Linked DNA regions of Nothobranchius furzeri. The protein of the gene in region 1 purifies or fractionates together with the protein of each later gene. This does not show direct contact. Links are inferred from orthologs where the notes say so. Each region holds a gene or a part of one and is shown on either strand. Other genes may lie near its edges.

Evidence for each region.
Region 2: the proteins of pagr1 (region 1) and kmt2cb purify together in Homo sapiens (affinity purification with mass spectrometry; 3 studies listed by BioGRID and IntAct, with this or other methods). This does not show direct contact. The link is inferred for Nothobranchius furzeri from reciprocal best matches to the Homo sapiens genes PAGR1 and KMT2C.
Region 3: the proteins of pagr1 (region 1) and ncoa6 purify together in Homo sapiens (affinity purification with mass spectrometry; 3 studies listed by BioGRID and IntAct, with this or other methods). This does not show direct contact. The link is inferred for Nothobranchius furzeri from reciprocal best matches to the Homo sapiens genes PAGR1 and NCOA6.

The regions. Positions count from the first base shown.
Region 1 is NC_091756.1:34,661,738-34,666,114, reverse strand, and holds pagr1 (PAXIP1-associated glutamate-rich protein 1), read left to right. Parts: upstream 1-1,573; 5' UTR 1,574-1,721; intron 1,722-1,926; 5' UTR 1,927-1,957; coding exon 1,958-2,129; intron 2,130-3,011; coding exon 3,012-3,345; intron 3,346-3,430; coding exon 3,431-3,519; intron 3,520-3,598; coding exon 3,599-3,834; 3' UTR 3,835-3,951; downstream 3,952-4,377. Other genes in the region: kinesin-like protein KIF22, read right to left, coding at 214-365, 442-569, 645-832. UniProt on the Homo sapiens protein: Its association with the histone methyltransferase MLL2/MLL3 complex is suggesting a role in epigenetic transcriptional activation. However, in association with PAXIP1/PTIP is proposed to function at least in part independently of the MLL2/MLL3 complex.
Region 2 is NC_091751.1:52,876,135-52,879,784, forward strand, and holds part of kmt2cb (histone-lysine N-methyltransferase 2C), read right to left. Parts: intron 3,519-3,650; coding exon 3,205-3,518; intron 3,119-3,204; coding exon 1,539-3,118; intron 1,457-1,538; coding exon 1,348-1,456; intron 1,219-1,347; coding exon 1,149-1,218; intron 1,069-1,148; coding exon 1,008-1,068; intron 899-1,007; coding exon 666-898; intron 300-665; coding exon 1-299. UniProt on the Homo sapiens protein: Histone methyltransferase that catalyzes methyl group transfer from S-adenosyl-L-methionine to the epsilon-amino group of 'Lys-4' of histone H3 (H3K4).
Region 3 is NC_091755.1:60,755,493-60,759,142, forward strand, and holds part of ncoa6 (nuclear receptor coactivator 6), read left to right. Parts: coding exon 1-70; intron 71-173; coding exon 174-292; intron 293-393; coding exon 394-788; intron 789-942; coding exon 943-1,188; intron 1,189-1,311; coding exon 1,312-3,650. UniProt on the Homo sapiens protein: Nuclear receptor coactivator that directly binds nuclear receptors and stimulates the transcriptional activities in a hormone-dependent fashion. Coactivates expression in an agonist- and AF2-dependent manner.

The DNA.
Region 1 (4,377 bases):
ATTAAGCTGTAAGCCATAATCATCAGTTATAACAAGGGCTTGAAATATCTGGCTTTGCATGTAATTAAGTTTTTTTTAATGTATTAGTTTCACCTTTAATCTGCTTTTGCATCATATTCTAATATTTTGAGCTTCATCTGTACAGTGATTCCCAACCTGAGGAGACTGGAGACCACTGTGCATACAGTAATGATGTAACCGGGACAAACAAACCTTTTCATTATAAATTTCCAAATATGACATTCCTACGCTGTAGTCCCATCCTTCATCCTGATCCGTGGCTCGGACCAGATTAAAGACCTCCTCAACAGCTAGAGGGATCACGCCAGGCTGCTCTGGACTTCCCAACATGGTGTGAGTCTTACCTGTGAATGAAGCCATGCAGGTTAATGTTAGGAAGAAAAACACACTTATTCCAGTGACAATGGCACCAGAACACACCAGCTCCTGTTGGCCCATAAGCAAACACGCTGGCGTTTTGTCCTTTCAGTATATTTGGTAGAATCGACTTCACTGATGAGAGGAAAACCTCTTCCTGTGTTGTGTCCTCTCCGTGGAAAACATCGAAGCTGGAACAAAAACCAAACCATGTTTAGAGTCAAATGTCGTGAGGAGAGGAGGACACTTGGGAGAGTGATACTGACTGGTATTTCACAGTTTCTGTTGCATTCCTCCAGTTGACTATCTCCAGGTTCTGGGAGTCCAGGCCTCTGACACACGGACCCTCGTGTTTATCATCTTGTTTGCTCATGTAAGGCCGCAGACGAACCGCTACCCGAACCCGGGAGGTCTTCTTGTTTCCACCATCTGCTACCAACACACGCTGCGCCATCTTCACACAAACAAAGGCCTGGATAACGAAAAAGCCAGAGTGATGTTCATCCACTTTATCAAACTCTATGCCACGCGAATATTTAGTATAATACACACCAGTAAATGCATGAACAGAGCATAAATGGAGTATTTGAAGGTAAGCTCTAGGTTTTCATCATTGCGTCACGAGAAGCAAACACACGAAAGGAGGTAATGTTGTTTCCAAACTAATGTTTCCTCGAAATCTGCCACTCCGCTTTTTTAAGTTTATTGGGGAAAGCTTACCGTTAAAAACGTCTTCCAAAAAACGCGTTTTTATCGTCCAAACATTCCCAGCTTCTCCTTTTAACAATGGCGATGGGCCAAAACTTCTAACTGAAAAAATTTTAAACGAAAAGACTGAGACCGGAAATGGGTTTTAACCAATCAGAGCTCGCGTGAACGCTGGCGCCTTTCAGCGATCTCATTAAGCGCTAAATAATTCATAAAACATAATTGTAGTTTTGTTGTATTTAATAGTATATTTTAAAAACTAGTATATTGAGTAAAAGTTAAATTAAAGAGGTTTTACTTTTCCCCTCCAAACAATACGAGTCGTTTAGCCACGGCACAGCTAACAGGAAGTTACGTTTAGCGTAGATTTCCACTTCATCTCCTTTCACATTTTAGACAGTAGAAGCCCTGGAATGACTTAGCCATACGCATTTAAATCAGCGGGATTTGGAGCCCGGTTAAACGCGACAACATCGTCAAGCAACCTATTCAGCCAAAATGGCGCTATGTTTATGTCCATGTTGAATCTTTTAATGCACTTAGCTAGCCTCATGGAGAGCTATGATGATCCCATCACTTGGGAATTACTTTAAAATCAAATTTTAACGTGACCAACGCTGACTCACGACAAATCGGTAATAACAATGAAGGATTTCCTTTATTTCTGCGGTGCGGTTTGACGTTAGCTAGCCCAGTAGGAATAAAACAAATAAACCTAAATATTCTCAAATTGCTTATTACGCTTTAGTAACAGGCGTAACTTGACTCGTTACCCGTGTAAATAATAACTGCCATTATCTCCCATTGCTAATTATTATCAAACATGCTGCTGTTTCGCAGATCCTATTAAAGTTGTCCAGCAGCAGGTAGGATGCAGACTGAAGTCACCAACTCTTCTCTTAGAGAGGGTGTTGAGGCTCTAGGTGTGAATGATCCAGAGAAATCTGCTGCAGACCAGGAGGAAGGCGGCCTAGAGAAGCAACAGGACTCAGAGATGACAGCTGTCACAGAGGAGAAAGACACCACTGCAAAGGATGACACAGGTAACTCCCTTAAAGGATAAATAACTTTGTAAACTCTTGGAGTCAGAAATCCGTCTGATTAGCACCAGATGTGGCCAAAAGCAATCACTCAAAGGCTGTATCAGTAAATAACAAGCCACATAAAGAATAGGGCTGCTCAATTGTGAATAATAATCAGAAATATTGTGTTTTTGGTCAATATTTAATTCCCAAGTATTTAACTAGATTACTTCTTCAGTTAGGACACACTTGTATTTATCATTTGCAGTTATAAAAAAAATACACCAAAAAAAGTCAAATGATGCCACAAACACACTTGACACACCAGACCTTGTAAAATGATCTGTGTTCACTTTACTCAAATTCTCCTTACTTCTATGTTTTGAACGAACGAACTTTTGAAATAAATACTCAAAACCATAACTCGTAATAGCAGAGCAATCATGTGATGCTTAAAATAGCTAGAGTTCACATTTTAAGACAAGTGCAGATACAGGATTACACCAGCAGGTGAAGGAGTGACCAATAAAACTTATGAGGGTTTAAGTATCTGAATTTACCACAGTAGAATTAATCTAGGACACCATGAATAGGAAAATAATTAAACTCGTGTTTTGTAACATTTAGTTGTTAAAACACAGACACCAGCTAAATAAACTAATTTCTTCTGAGTCAGTCTCATGAATAAAACATGTCCAGATATCCAAGCAGGAAGTAAGTGGGCATCAAAGTGTCTTTTTTAAATACCAACATATTACACAGGCTTTGGAAGATGCAGAAGTGTACTTCATTAGTAAAGAAGAACAAAATGAGAGTGCTTGCAACATAAAATAAGACAAACATAAATAACTTCTTATTACATTGTGTCAAAAAATACATTTGTGTACTTTTCTGTCTTCTCAGATGAGAACACAGAGGTGGTGGAAGGAGGGACACAAGAGAATGAACCTCAGGGGGAAGCAGGAGGGGATGCTGAAGAGGGGAAGCTGGCTGCCGGAGCAGACGACGAGTGGGAGCTTCCCTACAGCGACGAGGAAATGGAGGACCCCAAAAACTGGATGCCTGCTCCTCCTGAGATCAAAAGACTTTATGATATCCTCGCTAAAGGGGAGATGCTGGAATTGAACTTTGTGCCCCTTCCTAGAAGGCCTCCCACACCTGAACGCACCCCTTCACCCGAGAGAGACGAAGAGGAGGAGGCAGCAAAGGAAAGGGAGAGGCTGGAAAGGGAATGCAAGTCAGTAGCTCTCCTTTCTTTTTCTTATCTTCTGTTATTTGGATAAATTTGATTTACCACTCCCCCCCCACCCCCCCACCCCCAGGCCTCCGTCTCCAACAGAGTTTGACTTTGATGAGGAGCAACTTCATTCAACTCCTAAAAACTCCTTCATAAACAGACGCAGAACACCAGGTTTGATGATTTATTTTTTTATATCCTGATTTCCTGGGTTCAGCGAGGAAAGCCAAACTGTTTCCTCCCTGCATTCCAGGCTCGTCAGCTCGCTCCTCTGTGAAGAGAGAAGCTCGTCTGGACAAAGTGCTGTCGGACATGAAGCGCCACCGCAAAATTGAGGAGCAAATCAGGCGCACGGGCAGAGATCTATTCAAGACCGAGAAGAAGGTGGAGGAGGCCCTTTCCCCAAACAGCCAGAAGGAGCGGGAGAAGGAGAGGGAGCGAGACAGCAACCCAGACACCATCTTCTCCCCGAGACAGAGGAGATACTGAAGTATTCAGTCCCAGAAGCAATCAAGAGCTTCTCAGGGCTCTCGCAAGACTTTCATTTTCTAATGTTCACGTTTTGTATGTTTTTTGTATGATGGCAATAAAGCTTTTAACTTTTAACACTGTTAACTGGGTCATGATAACTAATTAAAAAGAAGTTGGGTTTAAAATCTAGAACCTCAGTTTTCATGTTAAGGTGTACATATAAGAAGGCAAATCATAATCTGAATCTAAATAACAGAAAAGGACTAAGTTCTTCCTTAGTGATCAACTAACCCTAACCCCAACTTGAATGCAGCTGTGCTCAGTTTTCTTTAAGCTCCTGGGACCCAAACATGTATTTGGTGTGATTTAAAAAAAAAGCATGTAGCTATTACAGATTAGTCAACTGTAATTAACAGAAACAAAATTACGAAAATTAAAACTAAATAAAAATTTTGTCAAATATCCTAAAAAAAAGGAAAGACAATTTTTTAAGTCAATATCAAGTGTCTGTAAATAATAACAAAAAGGTCTAAGTAGAAGTAGCAGAATAAAAAGGTAAGG
Region 2 (3,650 bases), on another chromosome or scaffold:
GGGACCTGAGGAGGCATTATGGGAGACATTCCTGGTCCACCCAAAGGCATGGCAGGCCCAGGATGCCAGCCTGGAGGGGCATTGGGCATACGTGGAGGCGCGTTAGGCTGGCCAGGGTGAAGCGGAATCTGCATCATGGCATTCGTGGGCGGCTGTACCATCGGTGGTCCACTGGGCATCATGCCAGGAGTAGCCGTTACTGGGTGCATCCCCGGCATTAACGGTGTCATATTGTTCTGCTGCTGCTTTACTCTGTATTCCTCAATAAGCTCAGCATGCTCCTTCTGCTGCTTGCGGATCTAAAATGAGAAAAAAAGAAAAACGATTTCTACAAAGAGTGAATTTCAATGGATTTCTATCAGACACTGAGGAAGCTAGCTATAGCTGAGACTTAATGCTTAGGGTGAATTTCAACGACACCGCTTGCATCCATAATTTTCATATGCAGAGATATGGGAAAAAAAAAGATGCTAAAATAAAACGTCTCCAAAATAAAGACATTTTTTTTTAAATCAGAGAAGAGTGAACTGAGTTTTTGTTATTTTAAAATCCTCGTCTTGGCTTCTTTAACAATTAAATTTTTACTCATAGGAAATGAAAAAACAAGAGAGTATTTAGAGTTTAGGGCAGCCAGTGTGCACATGCCTGACAGGCTATGCACTCACCTGCTCCAGTTGTTTCTGCACTACACCCTGCTGCTCTGTGACATGTTTGAGCTGCTCAGCATCCTCCTCAGGGAACTCTCTGCCTGCCTTCTTAGCCGTTCTCTGCTTGGCAGACAGGGCTTTCTTAGACTTCCTGTGAGCGCCGATCTGCTCCTCCAGAAACTTCTGCTGCATTTGAAGTAGCTGCTGAGTCTTCTGGAGCCACTCCTCATACTGAGCCCTCTGAGGATTATCTAAGAGAAGAGAAGGGATGTTTTCTTAGCAACCTTGAGAGCATAAAAACCAACATATTTAGAGTTGCAGCCATAACTAATCTTGCAAGAGAATCTTTGAAGAACTTACTGACAAATCCTGGTCCAAAGCTGGGAGGGTTTGGCCTTGGTACTTGTGTTAATTTTCCATCCTGGTAATAAGAAATTGGTAAGGTGTTTTTCACATTTGTAACTGAAATATTTGACACATTTCTTTAGAAAAATTGATTACCGATCCAACAACTTGTGGAGGGAGCGGTGTGCTTTCAGGACAGGGTGGTGGTCCGGAACCAGGTGGAAACCTGTCAAAACATTTAGGAGACATTAATATTATAAAACGTCTAAATGCAAATAAACAACCCAACGCACTCTACAAACATTACATTTTTCTTTAGACTTAAAGTAATTATCTCAGTTGTAAACGTTCATACCTGTTCACCATCGAAGTCATTCCCATGTTGTTCTGAACCATGACTTTATTGATGCCTTTCAAGGCGACCATTTTAGCTTTCATGATGGGGTCAGTGATGGCATCAAAATCTGCAAAGACAAACAGTAAGATAACCAATCTGTATTCTGTCTTAAAAGGGTGACATGCATGACGACGGCCTGAAAGCCTCACCGATGTTGGAGAAAAAAGCATCGCTGGAACGCTGTCGTATCATAGCTTGCATCTGCCGCTGCTGCTGTTGCTCCCGTCTCTCCTGGTCTAGGAGGTCCTGAATTAGGAGTGGCTGCTCCTCCAGCAAAAGAGGACGCGGTTGGTTAAGCTGACCCGCGGCCTGGTTCAACCCTGCCAGCTGGGCTTGGCTCAGACCACTCTGGTCCACTCCTGGGGTCAGCCCCACTTGGTCGGCTCCAAAGGCAGTCATAGAAACATCACCCGAGTTGGTGTTTTCGCCTAGTGTTTGGCTCGCTGTAAGCACTGAGGTATGTGGTGTATCAGTAACTTGGTTCTGCTGGGCCATGAGGTTTCCTCCTTGACTGACAGGTCCGATGATTGGATTTAATGATGACTCCTCGGGCTGCTGCTTAATGAGTAAACTGGACAGGACTGGGGTGGAGTCAGAGAGCGCCCCCTGCTGGTTTGAGGCATTGTCAGAAGCTTGCTCCTCAACCTCTTCAGGTGGCCTCTGACAGTCTTTGACCTCTTTTTTAATTTCCTGGTTCAGTGGTAAAGAATCCGAGTTTTGAATCCCAGGGTCGTCCGGCTTGAGTTCAGCTGAATTTTGCTCACCTGAAGTTTCCGAGTTTGCAGACAAAGATGCAGAACTTGATGAATACTCACTTACCGTGTTTGGATGTCTGTTGAGGTCTGCAGCTTCAGCGTGATCATCCATTGGATCGCTAAGATCCAGCTCCTCATTAAACATGTCTTTTTTGATGTCATCTGAGTCGGGGTCTGTGTAAGCAATGATGTCAAATTTACCAGATTTCAGAAAGTCATCAAGGTGCAGGTCGTTGGTCTCTAGATCCAAGTCTTTGCCATCCTCAGGATCCAAATTTAGGTTTTCCAAGTCAGCATCTACAAGGTCTTTCACTTCCACATCTTCAAGGTCTTTGACAGCCGAGTCTTCTCCATCTAGCTTTTCTTCAATAGCTTCACTGGTTGCCACTGAGATGGCCTCGGTCTGCACAACAGAGGGAGCAGGGAGGATCATGGATGCTGCCATGTTCTGGATCTCATTTGAAGCAGGTTGGCTCATAGATCTCATCAATGGAGATTGTTTTATAGGGCTGATTCCTGGCATCTGGCTTTGTTGATGAAGATTGTCCATGCTAGCAGAGAGGTGTAAGTGGCCGGCCTGGCTACCATTAGGGTCGACCATTTTAAGCCCCTGATTTAACGAGAACCTGGGATCAGGTGGTCCAGAAAAGTCTGGAGGCCGTTGGCCCAGCAGGTTAGGGTCGATATTGTTTCCTTGCATGCTGCCGAGTGGAAACGGCATGCGCGGCCTGTTTTCTGGCGCTCGGTGTCGCAGCTCGATAAAATGCTGGCCCATTATGTTGTGTTGCTGCACCGGCATGCTGCGTGGTGGGAAGTTGTGGTGCAGCCCCATGGGGTTTCCTCCCATGCCTTTTGTCATTTCAGCAGTCAGGGGCAATCTCATCTGAGGAGGGACATTCTGCATCGTGTGCTCCCCTCTGTGAAAGAACTCTTGAGGCCCGTGAGGTCCTGGAACACCGGCCGTAAATGCAAACCTGAAACAAGATTGGGAATGACTTTAAACAGAGGAAACAGTAAAGATCTGTTCTATGAAATACAGTAAAGCAAAAGTGTCACAAACCGTGGTCCCTGATGCCTCAAATTAGGATCTCCAGGGTGTGGGGGCTGGTGGATTTGCCCCTCGTTAGAAAAACAGACACGCTGATCCACTGGAAAAGATCCAGGAAATCTCATCGGGCCTCTCATGGGGACTGGTCCGGGATAAGGTGGAGGAGGTCTGTTGAACATTTCGCCCTGTTGGCTGGGGCCGTCTTGGGGCCAGGGTCGTGGCGTTCCTGGGGCTGTGTTACCAGCAGGATCCTGAGGGCCCCTCTCCTGTCGGCTGGCAGTCCTCTGTAAATGTTGTTTGAGGATTAGCTCTTTAATTCTTTGCCGCTAGAACAGAAAGGAAGAGGGATTTTATACACACGTTTAATAGGCTATATAGTTTAACAAAAGCATAAATTATATTTAATGCTTAAATGTTTAAGTTCAAGTTTTTTCCACATATTTCTAAATAAAAACATT
Region 3 (3,650 bases), on another chromosome or scaffold:
AAAAGAAGAAGCCAGCAAGAAAGAAGAAACCCAAGGAGAGTGATGGACAACAGCAAATAGAGGGACCTGGGTAATGTTTTGGATATGTTATGATTTTAATATTTTTGATTTTTAACACAGTGGTTAAAGCATTTTTTGATCAATTTTTCCTAATATGTGGTATTGTTCCTTAGTGGTCTTGAAGGGGCTGCTGGCATGGAGGATTCTGAAGGGCCAAACCTGGGTGGGGAGCAGACTTTGGGTTCGGAAAACTCAGGCCAGAAACTCACTGATTTTACCAACAGGCCAACAGGTAGATAACACAATATTTTTCCATCATCTGTATAAACCAAAGCTGATGGTCATGGTTATTATTATTGTTAACTTAATATTACTATTATTGTGCTTTAATAGGCTTTCCTGGTCAGGCAGGGGAGCAAAGAGTGCTGCAGCAAGTACCCATGCAATTCATTCACCAACAACAGCAGCAGCAGCAACAACAACAACAGATGCAGCACATGCAACAACAGCATATACAACAACAGCAAATGCAGCATCAACAGCAACAACAAATCCACCACATGCAACAGCAGCATATACAACAACAACAACAGCAGCAGCAACAACAACAATTACAACAACACCAAATACAGCAACAGCAACATATGATGCAGGTACTCCACAATGCTCAAGGGCAGCAATCCATGACAGGGCCACCAACTTCAGGTCAAGGTCAGCCACAGATGCATCCTCATCAGTTGCAACAACCACAGCAGCAACAACCACAGCAGTCCCACCTGCAACAACAGGTACTTTGTGTGTATGTGTGTGTGTGTGTGTGTGTGTGTGTGTGTGTGTGTGTGTGTGTGTGTGTGTGTGTGTGTGTGTGTGTGTGTGTGTTTTGGTGGCATGGCATCAACAACTTTTAAATCCATTCTTGATATTTTTTCCATCATGTGCTAGCAGCAGCAACAGCAGCAGCAAATGATGATGATGCTAAAAATTCAACAAGAGCAGTCAAAGAATCGCATGCCCATCCCTCCCGGAGGGCAGCTTCCTCCTCGTGGCATGGTCAATCCATCTGATATGCAAAGACATCCTGTTTCACAGCAAAGCAACATGCCTGTAATGATCAGCCTTCAGGGTCATGGAAGTGTACCCCCATCACCTGACAAAGCAAGGGGGATTCCCCTGATGGTTAACCCACAGGTAGAGATAAATTACAAAAAATAAAATTACGTGATAGAAATTATTTTCTAAATGCACTAATATTTATTATCTTTTGAAAGTCAATACTTATTGTGCGCATGTATATTTTCTCCTCCTTTTCAGCTTGCAGGTGCTGCACGAAGAATGTCCCATCCTGATGTAGGGCAGAGCACCCAAGGCACTGGACCCGAGGAGGGCCCAGCAGGGGCCCACTCAACACAGGACAGGCCTGGTGGGTCCCAGGAAATTGGGACCCAGCCAGGAAATGGGATCCAACAGGCTGTGTCCAGCCAGAGTTCTAACACTCCTATGATGAAGCAAGGCTCTGGTCAAACACAAATGCCCCAGCATACTGGGGCTAGTCCCCAGCAGCAATTACCCACTCAGCCTCAACAAGGAGGTCACATGCCTGGCCTTCATTTCCCCAATGTCCCTTCAACCTCCCAGAGCTCAAGGCCTAAAACCCCTAACCGAGCCAGCCCCAGACCATATCACCATCCCCTCACTCCATCTAATCGTCCACCCAGCACTGAGCCCTCGGAAATTAACCTTTCACCTGAGAGGCTAAATGCTTCAATTGCTGGACTGTTTCCTCCCAAAATTAACATTCCTCTTCCTCCAAGACAGCCAAACCTTAATAAAGGATTTGACCAGCAAGGTCTGAACCCAACAACTCTGAAAGCCATTGGGCAAGCCCCTCCTGGGTTAACTCTAACAAGCAACAACAATGGGAATGCAGGGGGAAACAACACCAATAATCAGCAGGCTTCTGGAGCTGGTGTTGGAGTTTTAGGTGCTAAACAAGAGAAACAGTCTGGGGGGCAAAGTAAGAGGGCAAGTCCTAGCAATAGCCGTAGATCAAGTCCAGCTTCTAGTCGCAAGTCAGCCACTCCAAGTCCTGGAAGACAAAAGGGGGCCAAAATGACAATAAATTGCCCTCCACACCAACAGCAGTTGGTCAATCCTCAAGGGCAAACAATGATGCTAAGCCCATCCTCGGTACCTCCGAGTCCGGTATCTATGCCTTCACAAGTTAGTGGAGGAATGGAAATGCAACAGACTCAGAGCCCCCTCCATGGGATTCACAGTAATCCTGCTGATGGGGTCAGGGAGAATCAGGGAATGATTACCCCAGAGCAGCGTCTAACGCCCCAACCTCAGTCCCAGTTACAACAATTCAGGGATTTATCGACCTCCAGAATGACAAGTCATCGTCTGCAGACATCCCAGCAGCCTAAACCTGATGTAGAACTACAGGCGAGTGCAGTTGATCGGGGTCCAACTCACCAGACTTCTATACAAAATACTGAAGTCTCACCTGCTCTCAGAGAAGCTCCGACATCACTTAACCAGTTACTGGATAACACGAGTGTATTGAACATGGCACTTGGGCCTACGCTGAGTAATACTGTTGCCATAGGAAAAGACGCCTCTAAGTCTTCTCTGGATCAAGACAGACCAGTCTCCAGTACTTCACAGAGTCTGCCATCTGTTGTCACCACAGCTACTGTAAATGAAACTGAAGCTAAACTCAGACCTGCTGTACCCATTTCTACAAGCAGTTCTACTTTGTACCCTCTTCCAGTCCCCAGCTCACACCCTCTGACTAATGTCAACTTAAGTACTACTTGTGTCAATTTAAATCCAAACTTACATTCAACACCTTCTCCTTGCAGCTCAGTCAGCACCAACACTAATGCCACTCTAGGTTTTAACATCAATACAGTCTCATCTGGTCAGAACAGTTCAGTTTCTGCTATTAGTACCAGTTCTAGCTCCAACTCTTCTGTAAATCCAATCAGTTCAGCTCTTAAACCAAGCCCTAGTCCTAAACCGTTAACAAATGTTCATCCTATTATACAGATTCCTGCATCATCAAGCAACCTTTCTCCCAGCCAGTTCAGAGTGCTTGTCACCTCAAACCCCATTACATCCGCGACCACGTCACAGGTGCCCACCTCTATGATGGGCGTCCCTAACAAAAACATCAGACCTCAGGACACCCGACAGCAGAGTTCTGGCACGAGACCTGCTCAGTTTATTACAACCACCCCTGTACTGATCAATCCAATTTTTCAGGTCACAGGTTCTTCAGTCCCTCCCAATACAACTGTGGTATCCCAGTCTGTCACCATGATGGGTGCTATTCAGGCGCCAGCAGCAAACATCCAACTTTCTCCTGCTCCAACCTCCACACAGCCATCAGGGGCCATTATGACAAGTGCTCACTCCATGAAGAGTGCTGTTGGACAGGTTCACATAGCTTCTAGTTTGTCTTCTTCAGTCCCTGTTGGTACTCTCATTGCTTCTCAACAAATCAACCAAGGAAATATCAAAACAGAAAATGTAGGTGAGACAAGTTCTCAGAAATCTGCTCTCGCTGTTTGTCAGCCTCCTTCCCATCCAAACCCTTTGAGTTCTTCCTTTCAGCCACCTCTAACTTCTCCACCCCCATGTTCTAG